Linked DNA regions of Sus scrofa. The protein of the gene in region 1 interacts with the protein of each later gene in a biochemical or structural test. Links are inferred from orthologs where the notes say so. Each region holds a gene or a part of one and is shown in the gene's direction. Other genes may lie near its edges.

What was found. The genes of interacting proteins can lie anywhere in the genome.
Region 2: the proteins of TNFRSF13B (region 1) and TNFSF13B form a complex in vitro, tested with the Homo sapiens proteins (3 studies listed by BioGRID and IntAct, with this or other methods). The link is inferred for Sus scrofa from reciprocal best matches to the Homo sapiens genes TNFRSF13B and TNFSF13B.
Region 3: the proteins of TNFRSF13B (region 1) and TNFSF13 form a complex in vitro, tested with the Homo sapiens proteins (2 studies listed by BioGRID and IntAct). The link is inferred for Sus scrofa from reciprocal best matches to the Homo sapiens genes TNFRSF13B and TNFSF13.

What each region holds. Positions count from the first base shown.
Region 1 is NC_010454.4:61,244,625-61,248,775, forward strand, and holds the start of TNFRSF13B (tumor necrosis factor receptor superfamily member 13B), read left to right. Parts: upstream 1-1,351; 5' UTR 1,352-1,491; intron 1,492-4,151. UniProt on the Homo sapiens protein: Receptor for TNFSF13/APRIL and TNFSF13B/TALL1/BAFF/BLYS that binds both ligands with similar high affinity. Mediates calcineurin-dependent activation of NF-AT, as well as activation of NF-kappa-B and AP-1.
Region 2 is NC_010453.5:75,598,461-75,602,545, forward strand, and holds the start of TNFSF13B (tumor necrosis factor ligand superfamily member 13B), read left to right. Parts: upstream 1-1,285; 5' UTR 1,286-1,297; coding exon 1,298-1,477; coding exon of another isoform or gene 1,478-1,621; intron 1,622-1,709; coding exon 1,710-1,797; intron 1,798-4,085. UniProt on the Homo sapiens protein: Cytokine that binds to TNFRSF13B/TACI and TNFRSF17/BCMA. TNFSF13/APRIL binds to the same 2 receptors. Together, they form a 2 ligands -2 receptors pathway involved in the stimulation of B- and T-cell function and the regulation of humoral immunity.
Region 3 is NC_010454.4:52,852,320-52,856,465, forward strand, and holds the start of TNFSF13 (tumor necrosis factor ligand superfamily member 13), read left to right. Parts: upstream 1-1,346; 5' UTR 1,347-1,527; exon of another isoform or gene 1,528-2,178; coding exon of another isoform or gene 2,179-2,229; coding exon 2,230-2,433; intron 2,434-2,612; coding exon 2,613-2,657; intron 2,658-2,757; coding exon 2,758-2,842; intron 2,843-2,982; coding exon 2,983-3,030; intron 3,031-3,161; coding exon 3,162-3,280; intron 3,281-3,496; coding exon 3,497-3,635; intron 3,636-3,832; coding exon 3,833-3,942; 3' UTR 3,943-4,146. Other genes in the region: TNFSF12 (tumor necrosis factor ligand superfamily member 12), read left to right, coding at 9-133, 319-570. UniProt on the Homo sapiens protein: Cytokine that binds to TNFRSF13B/TACI and to TNFRSF17/BCMA. Plays a role in the regulation of tumor cell growth. May be involved in monocyte/macrophage-mediated immunological processes.

The sequences.
Region 1 (4,151 bases):
CCCAGTGGCACTGCTGTCATCGCACTGCCCTTCCCGCGACTTCTGTACCACTTCATGTGCCCACAACCAGGGGGCCGGGAGGCCTGTGTGTCTTTGCCTCCCTGCAAGGTATCTCACTGCCAGCACCATGCCAACGCCACCTGCTGTCGCCCAGCCATCTGAGGTCACCGTCTCTTTGCACCGCGCAGAGGCCTGCCTTGTCCCTTCTGCCCAGTGCAGAGAACTCCTACCACGGCCGTGGCCCAGCCCCACGTGGGCTCGCCATCGCCTGCGTGCCACTGGGCATCCGCATGCACCTGCGGCCGAGGAGGAGAGTCCCCAGGGAGCGGGGAAGCGCAGGTTCCATGTCTCACGCGACCCTGGCAGAAGGCCCTCCCCGCCGCTCCCGGCTCCGCAGGTCGCCTCCAGCACCTGGTGGCTCCAGACTGTGCCGACCTGGTGGACGAAATCTGGCTTTTCGTCGTGGTCTGACTGCATTTCCTGATGACCGAGGAGATGGAGCATCTTTTAGGATTTCCAGCCACTGGTGTCTGCTCTCCTGCCCTGTCACCACCCCGAGCCCTTTGTCTTCCCTGCCCCCACTCGGGCTCTGGCCCAACTCCTCCTGGAACCCCTATCTCTCCCTCCGTCCACCTGACTGCTCCCCAAACAGCACAGCCTTCTGTGACTTCGAAACCCGTTGCCCCCCAGTGCTGTCCCCACAGACGCTGGGAGCACAGGAATGCAGCTCTGAAGGGTGACAGGGACACGTGTTAGTCCTGGACGCCGCGTCCTGAGAACTCACTCGGTGCCAAGAACTTGCTCTGGGCCTGTGACTGTGCACTCTGTGCGCCGCCTGCATGCGCATCACAGCCTCCGAGGCGGGTCCTGCCTGCACACCCACTTTACAGGAGAGAAGACGGAGGCACAAAAAGTTAAGTAAATTCCCACCAAGGCTTCCTGCTGGTAAGAGGCTGAGCCGAGATTCAAGCCCAGTCTGTCTGGCTCTGGTGCCAGCCTCTCGGGTGCTTTGACAGGGTAAGGTCAGCACCCAAGAAGCAGAGAACGGCCACCAACCCGGGCTGGGGCAGTCAGGACGGCTTCCTGGAGGAGGTGACACCTCAGCGGAGCCTGAAGGAGGAAGAAGAGGAGATGACGGGGCAATGACCTGGCAGAGGGAAGGGCCCTGAGCCACACTTGCAGGCCCGAGAGCTGGTCCGCCCTGGCTGAGCCTGGGGTATGTGGGGGGGACCAGGCCCAGGGGGCAGCGAGGCTGGGGGCTCAGCACCCAGCTGGACTCCTGGATGTCAGGCCAAGTGAGCCCCCAGCTCCCGAGACGGAGCGCGCAGGCGCGGGGGGACGGGGGGGCTGATTTACATCCTCCAGGTTGGGGGGAAACCCCGGAAGTGCCGCCCGGGCGCTAATCAAATCTCAGGCTAAGAATAAGCGTCCTGAGGAAGGAGTGGCCTGGGCCGGAGCAGCGGAGGTGACGAGCGGGCCAGGAGGAGCTGCGTGAGTAGCGGGGAGGCGGGGGCGCGAGCCGGGGCTGGGTCGGGGCGCCACGGGCACCGGGGGGCTCAGGGGTGGCGGTGCTCACGTGTGGCTCAGGGGTGGCGGGCCGCCCCGGGGCCTCCTGGGCCTGCCCGCCGAGGGCCTGCAGGCTGCGGCCGCGGGGCCCGGCCTGCTTTCGGGGGCAGAGCCGCAGGGCCGGAGGTCGGCCACACCTGCAGGAACCCCCGGGCCTCCCAGCCCTCGCGGGCCCCGGGCCCAGAGGCACATCCCCAGGACGCCGTGGTGACATCCTGAGGCCGAGAGTCACGCAAGGCAGAGCATCTAACTAGCTCTCTGGCAGCCGGCAGCCGGCAGCCGGCCTCCACCTTCACACCCCCCGGGCGGCCGGACGGCTGCGAAGACAGCCACGCCTTGCATTTTTGATTTGTCAATCCCGCAGTATTTACCTCTTAAAGACAAAAACACCTTAAAAAAAACAAACCCCCAACTTTTGGGGGGAGCCATGACAATGTGTGCAAAGCACGAGTCCTCAGCGCCACCGCAGGGCCCGCGTCCAGACTTGCGACTGCCTGGCCAAGGCCCGTTCCCGCCGATTTGATGACATCAGGGCCCAGACGCGTCCCTTTGGTTGTACGTCCGAATCTAGAACGTTCCCACCCTGTCTCATTTTGTTCCCTGGCTGGTTTTTGAATGAAGAGGCCGGATCGTTTACCCTGGAGAATTTCGAGCAGGTCTTCTTTTGAAGGTTCAAACCTGGCAGCGTGGCTGGGCTGGCATCTGGCCATGTGGGCACTGCGTGCACGGCAGGTCCAGTGGCTCAGTGGCCTCCAGACCCTGAGTGGGTCTGGGGGCTCCCTCGGGCGGCCCTTGGCCCAGCCAACCCACCGTCGCCCCGGCTTCCCTGTGGCCGGGGCGGCGGCCGCTCTCTCCCTCTCGTCTCCCCAAATGACGAGAGGTCCAGGTTGGGCTCTTTCCAGTTGTCCCCAAATGACGAGAGGTCCAGGTTGGGCTCTTTCCAATTGTGTTTGGTCCCCTTTGCTTTGCTTTGCTTTCTTTTACCAGAAGGATAGTTGATTTACAATGTTGGGTTGGTTTCTGTGCCCAGCTTCATACGCACACACACCTTCTTCGTCAGATTCTGCTCCAGTCTGGTTCGTCACAGGATGTGGCATATAGTTCGCCGTGCGACACAACAGGGCCTTGCTGTTCACCTATCTTCTACATACTTGTGTGGATCTGCTCATCCCAAACTCTTAAGTCAGGTCTTCTTGCTATCTATCTGTGCCTTATTTATTGATTTATTTTGCTTTTTAGGGCTGCACAAGTGGCACATGGAAGTTCCCAGGCTAGGGGCTGAACCAGAGCTGCACCTGCCACAGCCACAGCAATGCAGGATCCAAGCTGCATCTGTGACCTCCAATGCAGCTCACGGCAACGCTGGATCCTTAACCCACGGAGCGAGGCCAGGGATTGAACCTGCATCCTCTTGAATATGAGTCAGGTTCGTTACCACTGAGTCAGGACAGGAGCCCCCTCTGGCTGTTTAAATTTGCTTTGTGAACAGTCGTCCCAGGCTGGAAGCCCAGAGAGTAGATTGCGGTAAATATAGCCGCTTTCCTCCCAGCCCTCCGCCCGCCCCGTTCCTGCCTCCCCCAGAATCAACAGCTTTGTTGAGATAATTTACATGGCCGCTCACCCGTTTACAGTAAACAATTCAGCAGTTTTAGGATATTTACAGAGCTGGGCAGCCACCACATAATCTAATTTTAGAACATTTTCATCACCCCAAAAAGAACGCTCGTCTCTCCTCGTTCCTCCCCACGCCCAGCCCTACGCTGCCACGAACTTACTTTCTGTCTCTAAAGAGTCACCTGTTTGGGACAGCTTATAAACACGGAATATGCTGTCTTACGACGGCCTTCCACCATTAGCACAACGCCTTCGAGGGTCATCCATGCAGCCTGGATGTGTTGGGACGTCATTCCTTTTTCGTGGCCCAATAACGTTCCCCATACGGAGAGGGCACATCGTCTCCTGCAGCCGGGGACCGACACTTGGGTGGCTTCTGCTTTTCGGCTGTTGTGAATGACGCCCTGGGAACATCCATGTGCACGTATTTCTTTTTAAAGATTTCTGCTCATTTTCTGTATTTTTTTGTTTTGATTGCCACATTTTATCTTTATTTTTTAAATTACCCCATACATTTTATTACATTTATAGCTGTACATCTATAAGTAATATCATATGATATTCGTCTTTCTTGGTCTCACTTACTTCACTTAGCATGATAATTTCTAGGTTCATCCATGTTGCTACAGATGGCATTATTTCACTCCTTTTAATGGCTGAGTAATACTCCACTGTGTGTATGTACCACCTCTTCTCGATCCACTCCTCTGTCGATGGGCATTTAGGTTGTGTCCGTGTCTTGGTTATTGCAAAGAGTGCTGCAGGGAACGTTGGAGTACATGTGTCTTTGCGAGTCGTGGTTTTCTCTGGGTAGATGCCCAGGAGTGGGACTGCTGGATCCAGTGGGAATTCTGTGTTTTTTTCTGAGGCATCTCCATCCTGTTTTCCAAGTGGTTGCACCAGTTTACATCCCCACCAACAGCGTAAGAGGGTTCCTTTTTCCCCACACCCTCTCTCCGGCACGTATTGTC
Region 2 (4,085 bases), on another chromosome or scaffold:
CTGTTTGTAATAATGAAAAAGAGTTCGTGTTCTGGATAAATGAAACACACATTCATTCATAAAATGTATGAATGAAATATATCTCACATAATGAATGAATGAATGGATGGAAATGAGTGAAAAATGGAGGGTCTTAAAGGCAGCTTGTTCCACATTCCTCTAAGGCTCCTTACAACTTCTCAGGGCCGGTTGTCACCCCATCTAACAGATGAGAACACTGAATCTCAGGTGGGATTGGTGTCCTAATAGGCACGCCACATCCAGCAACAGAGATTTGAAACTAAAGTCCCTCTGGGTCGAGTTGGGGTGTCCTACAGACCCATGAGATGGGGACAGAGTCAACCTCATGTGGCCAAGCAGATACGCTGCTTTAGGGGAGGAGCAGTTAGTGGCAAGACCCAGGCTTCTGGAGCTGAGATAAGGCAGAATCTCCCCCAAATGTGGTCAGACGGAGCCAGGACATGCAGCCCCAGGAGTGGGGACAGCAGAGGTCGGACCGCTCCTCAGAACTGGCCGTCCTCTGGGGCAGCGGGTCCAGAAGGAGGAAGATTAGGCAGGCTTTTCTTCAAAATGCCTTTAAAGAATCCCCCGTGTCTACTCTCAGCAGGGCTCCCAAATTCAGGCACATCCTTTTTCTTCAGTTGCTAAGATGATAACATGGAAAACATTCCCCAACGGACTTTCATGCCTCCTTGGAGGAGGCTTCGTTTTATTTCCTACTTAAGGACTGTTAATAAATCACTCTCTGGCTGAGTACAGTTGAACGCTGAAGCACTTAGCTTATCTGACCTTCGCATTAATTATTTTTATTACCCAGCAGGAACTTATGAAAGCTGCCCCCCCTTTCCCTGTAAAGCCAAGTGGCCCCAAGCGAAGAAGCCAGGTCTCTCCTGGTGCCTGAGAGGGAGCTCCTTAAACACCTCCGGCTCTGAAAAGCTCTGCTGGAGGGTACTGGTCCGAACCCCCAGTTCCTTCCAATCAGTAGACGCCAGGCACCCGTTTGTGCCTGAGGACCCAGTGATGCCATTGCAATTCTTACAAAAACTGAAAGTGAAATGAGGAAGACTGATTGAGCAATCGGATAGAAGGGCGAATGCCAGGAAGACCTAGCGTACAGTAGGGGCAGAGATGCAGCGGGGCAGAGGGGAGAAAATTCAGGAGAACTCTCCTGAGGGCGAGCGCCGGGCTGGGCCGGGCAGTCAGTGCAGGACATCAACAAACACAGATAACAGGAAATGATCCATCCTCTGTGGTCACTGATTCTAAGGGCCCGAACCTTCAAAGTTCTAGGAGGGAAATGGATGACTCCACGGGGGAGCAGTCACGCCTTTCTTGCCTTAGCACGAGAGAAGAAATGAAACTGAAGGAGACGGTCCCCATCCTCCCCCAGAAGGAAAGCCCCTCTGTCCGCATCTCCAAAGATGGGAAGCTGCTGGTCGTGACCCTGCTGCTGGCCCTGCTGTCCTGCTGCCTCACGGTGCTGTCTTTCTGCCGGGTGGCCTCCCTGCAAGCGGAGCTGGGGAGCCTCCGGGCGGAGCTGCGGGAGCACCGGGCGGAGGGGCTGCCGGGCGCCCCCCAGGCGGGAGCCGCAGCCCCCAGGGCCGCCCCTCCGGCCCTGAAAGTGAGTCTGCGGCAGCCGCAGCCCCAGGCACGGGGCTCCCCCACGACCCACACGTGCTGGCGGTAACGTGGGGCTTTTCTCTTCCCAGGGGATCTTTGCACCACCAGCTCCAAGGGAGAGCAGCTCCATTCAAAGCAACAGGAGTAAGCGCGCCGCGCAGGATGCGGAGGAAACAGGTACGTCGGGGTCACGGAAGCCTGTAGGAGGCAGGGATCCCGTTCACAGGTGTGGAGGCGAGCATCGGACTGGGAGAGGGGAGCCCCGCAGAACCTGGAGACTTCCACGCTCACCGTCGCAGCCAGGAGCGGCGCGGGGGCAAAGCACCAGGCTGACAATGCATGTCTGAGCTCCAGGGAGCGGATTTTGTGGGGGCAGGTATTTATTTATCTGTGCGGCAGTTGAAGCGTAGAAGTGGGGAAAGAGGCTCACATCTCCCTGCAGAGAGTTCCCTTCTATGTCAGGAGCATCCTCCATCAGTTCAGGAGAAAAAGCACCACGCGCGAATGTAGGAAATTTTGTGAACCTGGTCAAAGAAAGGCAGCAAAAGAGCATCTCCTGGGGAGCGTAGCTGCTGTGCAGTCACATGGAGGTCGGTGGTGGGAGCAGGTGCATGGCTGTGCTTTATTTTGTTTCTTGCTTTTAAAAGAATAGAGCTCCTTCCACACACACACACATACACACACACACACACAGAGCTTTTCGAGCTTTTCGTTAACCGGAGCTTTCCCAGGAGATCCACACGTTTGTAATCTTATTGTAATAGTTCTTTAGAGATTTCTGACTCTCTTCCTGGTCTGTTCCACAGAATTGTGTGGATTCCCGAAACCTCAGATTTGGTGGGGCCTCCCCAGACATTCAGCTCTAGCTCCTTCCTTTCAAAGATGCAAAAGAGCATTTGCATTGCATTTACTTAGCATGCAATTTAATCCTTGATACTGTTTCCCTTCTGTATTGAAGGAAGGTTTTTGAGCCCCTAGAATGTGCCAAGCACGCTTGTACTTGAACGGGAATCGTCACACCTTCTGTTTCCTTTAACCTGCAAGGTGACTGCGAGGTGAAGTCACCGTGTGCAATTATGTATCCGTCTATGTGCTTCTAAAGAGAAGTGCGCGACCCGCAGATTAGCTTTTCTGGCACACGCACAATGCTGCTTCTGTAAGCGTGTTTTTCACGAAATGCCTTATTCATGGAAAAAATTCTTCCCTTATTATAAAAGCATACATTTTTATCTGGTTATCATATCTCCCAGCCAATTATCAGAAACAATTGGGTTTAAGCATTTTAAAACTAGGAAACATTTTTAGCATACTTTAACCCATCAATTGTTTTCAGATTTTGTATTTTATCACCTATGTTTTCTTACACACACATAGTTGAAAACTGCAAGCATATATGTCTTGGCATATTTTTGTGTTCACTTATTACATAAGCATTTTCCTTAGTTCTCAGTAATTCTCACTCATCTATATTAATTTCTTTGTTATCATTCTGTGATCATACGATCATTTCCAACTCTTTTTTTTTTTTTTTTGGCTATAGCAGAACATGCCACAATTTTTGTGCAGATCTCTTTGTGTCTGAGGAATTATGTGCATATTATTCAACATAAATTCCATAGATGAAATGTCTGAGCCAGAGGATAAACACCTTTAACACTCTTGCTACCTGTTGCCATGTTGCTTTCAAAATGAATCATAAGTGCGTGCAGTCAGAAACTCCGTGTACAAGTTCTCCGCATTCTGACAGCATTTTATCTTTAAAATGTGTTTGGGCTAGTTTGGTAGTTGCAAAACAGTGCCTCAAATTTAATTTGTTGCTTGCTGACAAATAAGAATTAACTTCTTTCCACATATTTTGATAACTTCTAATTTTATCTTCTGCTGATTTTTATTTATAACTTCCCTCACTTGTCTGTCATATTTTTAAAACAATTCTGAATAAACTCTATATTTGACATATTACTTATCAAAATTTTGATGTAAATATTTTCACAACATTTTGCTGTTTTTTCAAAAACTTGTGCAGAGATTTTGCATCTGTGTATTTTAATGTGAAACACTTGTCCTTTTGATTTCTCTATCAAAGCTAAAATACATTTGTTCATAATCTCTTAAGCAGTTTATTGTTTCCTCTGCCATTTTGACTTTTTTATAATTTAGTGTTGTAGCTTGGTATTTAATCCATTAACCTTGGAGTTTATTTTGGTAGGTCATGTCATACTGGCCTTAACTTCCCCTTTCTTCTTTTACTTTTCCCTTCCAAACTCTTGCTAAATATCTCAACCAAATTAATTAGATGATTCTTTTTAACTCCTTTGGGTTGGGAAGCTTCCTGTATTAAGTTCCTCATATATAGTCGAATCTACTTTGAGATTCCTTTTTTCATTGATTTTTTATCCTATCTATCTGTGATAAATAAAATATTATAAGTGATTTTATAATATAATGAGCTTCAATATCTAGTA
Region 3 (4,146 bases), about 8.4 Mb from region 1:
ACCTTCAGGTGTAGACGGGACGGTGAGTGGCTGGGAGGAGGCCAAAATCAACAGCTCCAACCCACTGCGCTATGACCGCCAGAGCGGGCAATTTTTGGTCACCCGGGCAGGGCTGTACTACCTGTACTGTCAGGTAAGCCCCACCTGGCTCCGCGGGTGAAGCAGGAACAGGGAGAAGGGTTGCTGGGGGGGGTGGGGGGGGCAAGTTAAAAGTGGGGAAGGGGGAGGTTTGTGCTGGGAAGGATGCCGGGCCTCTTGGGAAACCTGAGACAGGGTCAAGGGCAAGCAGAGGCCTGGACTCCGCCCCCGCCCCCCCAGGTGCACTTTGATGAGGGGAAGGCCGTCTACCTGAAGCTGGACTTGCTGGTGGACGACACGCTGGCCCTGCGCTGCCTGGAGGAGTTCTCGGCCACGGCGGCGAGTTCCCTCGGGCCCCAGCTCCGTCTCTGCCAGGTGTCTGGGCTATTGCCCCTGCGGCCGGGGTCCTCCCTGCGGATCCGCACCCTCCCCTGGGCCCACCTCAAGGCTGCCCCCTTCCTCACCTACTTTGGACTCTTCCAAGTTCACTGAGGGGCCCCGGGCTCCCCAGCAGCCGCCCCACCCCGGGCTGCTCCTCCCCAGACCTGCCTCTCCCTCCGTGTAGGCTTCCCCGGGCTGGGCTCGCTCACGTGATGTCACCCAGAGAGTCCCATCGGTCCTGACAACTCCCCCCACCTCTGGCTCTCCCCCCTCACTGGCTCCCAAACCCCCATGTAGCTCCTGGCCGCAGCCCCCAGGACACTGCACTCTGGGTGACATGGGTCCCGAACAGCCGTCTTCAGGCACTAGGAAGGGCCGGAGGCCAGAGAGCCCGGGCCGGGAAGAGGCTGGGAGTTTCCGAATGTCAGAGGGAAGAGCCCGAGACGAGCCCCTCCCCTGATCATTCCCTGTGGATTTTTAAAACAGATATTATTTTTATTATTATTGTGACAAAATGTTGAGAAGTGGAGATTAAAGAGATTAAGCCACGGCCGCTCTTTTTATTGGGGCTGAGGGCGCACCCTCGGGTTAGCCGAGGGCCATGGGAAGGGGGTCCGGGCGGGGGCGGGAGGGGAGCTGGGCACAGGGCACCTCGAATTCTGGGGCGACCCCCAGGCTTGGGAGTGGGGACCTCCGTGCCTCCAAGCCCGAGGCGGGAGCAGAGGAGGCAGAGAGGCGAAAGGCAAAGTGCCAGGAAAAAAATCAGTCCTCTGCCCAAGGTCCAGCAGAGGCAGCCTCATTTACCTAGGAGGCGGGCTTCCTCCCGCGGGGAATCCCTGCGCGCAGGGCCCTTCCTCTTGGCAGCTTCGGACGTGCAGCAGGTGCTGGCACAAGCCCTGGCTGGGACGTGGGGCTCGCTCGAGCAGGCCCGCGCGGGGGCTCGGGGTCGGTCAGCGGGCCGCCGGGGGCCCAGGAATCCGGGAAGCTGCACCCCTGCGTCCAGGGGAGGAATTGTCCAGCAGCAGGGTGCTTGGGGCCAGCTCGTTCTCTCTTTGTCCAGAGCCTTATGTAAGAGCATTTCTCGGGAAACAGGAAGTCCTGCTTGCCAAGTTCAGCACAGGGAGTAGCGCAGGCCTTATTCCAACACACCCGGCCTGGCCTTAACCCCAGAACGCAGCCGGTTGCTTCTTGCTTCCGCGACCCTGGTTTTCCTCCTCACTGACCCCCTCCCCTCCTTTCCCACCTGCCGTCCCTCTTAGCAACCGCCCCGGAGATCTCGCCTGGGCCCTGGCCAGAGGGTCTTCCACGCTCACCCCCTGACCTCCACGCTGCCCAGCTTGCCCCTCCGTTCTGGCTCCTGGCACCATGCCCCACCGCCAACCAACCTTCCCTCCCCCACTTCTGGGGCCGCCCCGGGGTTCCTACGCTCTGGCCGCTCCTCCTGGGTGTCACTGGCAGCCCCGTGCTTCCTAGAGAAACTGACACTAAATTCTCCTGAGGCTGGCGGAGGGTCTCGGGACAACACTGGCCCCGCAGCAGGGTGCCAGGAGCACCAACAGTGCCCTGAGCTTGCTTTCTGCCTCCGTCCTTTTCATTCTCAAGTTCCTTTTTATTTCTCCCTTGCGTAACGCCCTTCTTCCCTTCTGCACCCCCACCCTCCCGGTCACCTCCTTGCCACCCCACTCCTGAGCCCACAGCTGTTGGCAGGGTCCCCAGCTCATGCCAGCCTCATCTCCTTCCTTGCCAGCCCCTAAAGGGCCCCTGGGAGACATGGCCCCCATCCGAGAGCCGGCTCGCTCCGTTGCCCTCTGGTTGAGTTGGGGGGCGGCTCTGGGGGCTGTGGCTTGTGCCATGGTTCTGCTGACCCAACAAACAGAGCTGCAAACCCTAAGGAGAGAGGTGACCCGGCTGCAGAGGACCGGAGGGCCCTCCGAGAAGGGGGAAGGGGATCCATGGCAGAACCTCTGGGAGCAGGTGAGTGAGGGGAGAAGGGAGAAGGGCCGCTGGGAGAGAAGGATGGCTGGCAGGGTGGTCTCCGGGCCTCTTGCAACGTTTGCAATGGGTGTGAGAGAGGGTCCCGGGTTTGGAGGTCAAGGGGACAACCGTTCCAGGAAAGGAAATTGTTAAAGATTAATGCTTCTCGTACCTAACAGATCCTGGAGGACAGCCAGCACCAAGACTCAGGTTGCTGGGGAAAGGTGCAGGAGAGATGGGAGGCCTTCCTGGGCCAGGGGGAGGGCCGGGGGAAAGGCTTTCCGGGACCCCGGCATCTTGGCCTAACCCCGACCCTCTCTGCAGGAACAGAGCCCTGGCGGCGCGGAAGCCTGGGAGAACGGGGAGAGATCCCGGAGAAGGAGAGCCGTGCTCACCCGTAAACAGAAGAGTGAGCCTCTGGGGTGCAGCAGGGGTGGGAGGTGATCAAGCGGCAAGGCGACCCCGAGCCAGCGTGAGGGTGGAGGACTGACAGCCGGGCATCGGGGGGCGGAGGTGGGCACTGCTCAGATCTCCTCCTTCTCTCCTCAGAGAAGCGCTCAGTTCTGCATCTCGTTCCCACTAACATCACCTCCAAGGGTGAGCAGTTTTCAGTAATGGTTTGGGGGGACGGGCGAGATCTAGGAACTGTGGGGCTGGTACCTGGGCCCACGACGAGAAGATGGCTGCGTGCGCCCCCAAATTCTGACTGCCACACTCCTCGCCTCCAGAGGACTCGGATGTGACAGAACTCATGTGGCAACCAGCTCTCAAGCGTGGGAGAGGTCTGGAGGCCCAAGGATACTTTGTTCGAGTCTGGGATGCTGGAGTTTATCTGCTGTACAGCCAGGTAACCCCAAACATACCCTGAGCCCCCCCAAGGGCCTGGAGTGGTGTTCCCCGGGAGTCTTGTCGTGCCCCAGGACTGGGGGGTCCCAACCGCCATTCACACCAAACTTAGGGGGCCCTTCTTCATTCCTCAGCTGCCTTGTCGGGGCTCCTGAGGCCGCCCGGAACTGAGCCACGCCATCCGGTTTTCTTCAACGTCTCCTCCCTTCCCTGCCAGGTCCTGTTTCACGATGTGACTTTCACCATGGGTCAGGTGGTATCTCGGGAGGGCCAGGGAAGGCAGGAGACTCTATTCCGATGTATTCGAAGTATGCCCTCCAACCCCGACTGGGCCTACAATAGCTGCTACAGTGCAGGTGAGAGCATCTGGGCAGTGGAGGGTGGCTCTCCCACCTGCGGGTAGAGGTGGGGATGCTATGGCACGGGCCTGGAGCCTGGCTGGAGAGGAGGATCTGAGCAGTGAAGCAGAAAAGAGGGCCGAGTCGAAGGTGGGAGCGTGAAATCGAGGGCTCTGCATGTGCTTCACTGAGCATCATGTTTCTCCCTTTCTCAGGTGTGTTCCATTTACACCAAGGGGACATTCTGAGTGTTGTGATCCCCCGGGCCAGGGCGAAACTCAGCCTCTCTCCACATGGAACCTTCCTGGGAGTTGTGAAACTGTGATTGTGTTGTAAAGGTGGTTCTGAGCTTGGAAGACCAGGGTGGGTACATTTCGGAGACAGCCAAGAGCCGAGGAGACAAAGGACAGGGAACAGGCAGGAGCAGAGGCCTGTTCAGAGTTTGACTGGAACCCCAGGTTTGACAGCTCCTGACTCTCCCTTCCTCCTCCTGCTCCCCTCCCCCCCCGGGGGGGTCTTTAAATTCATG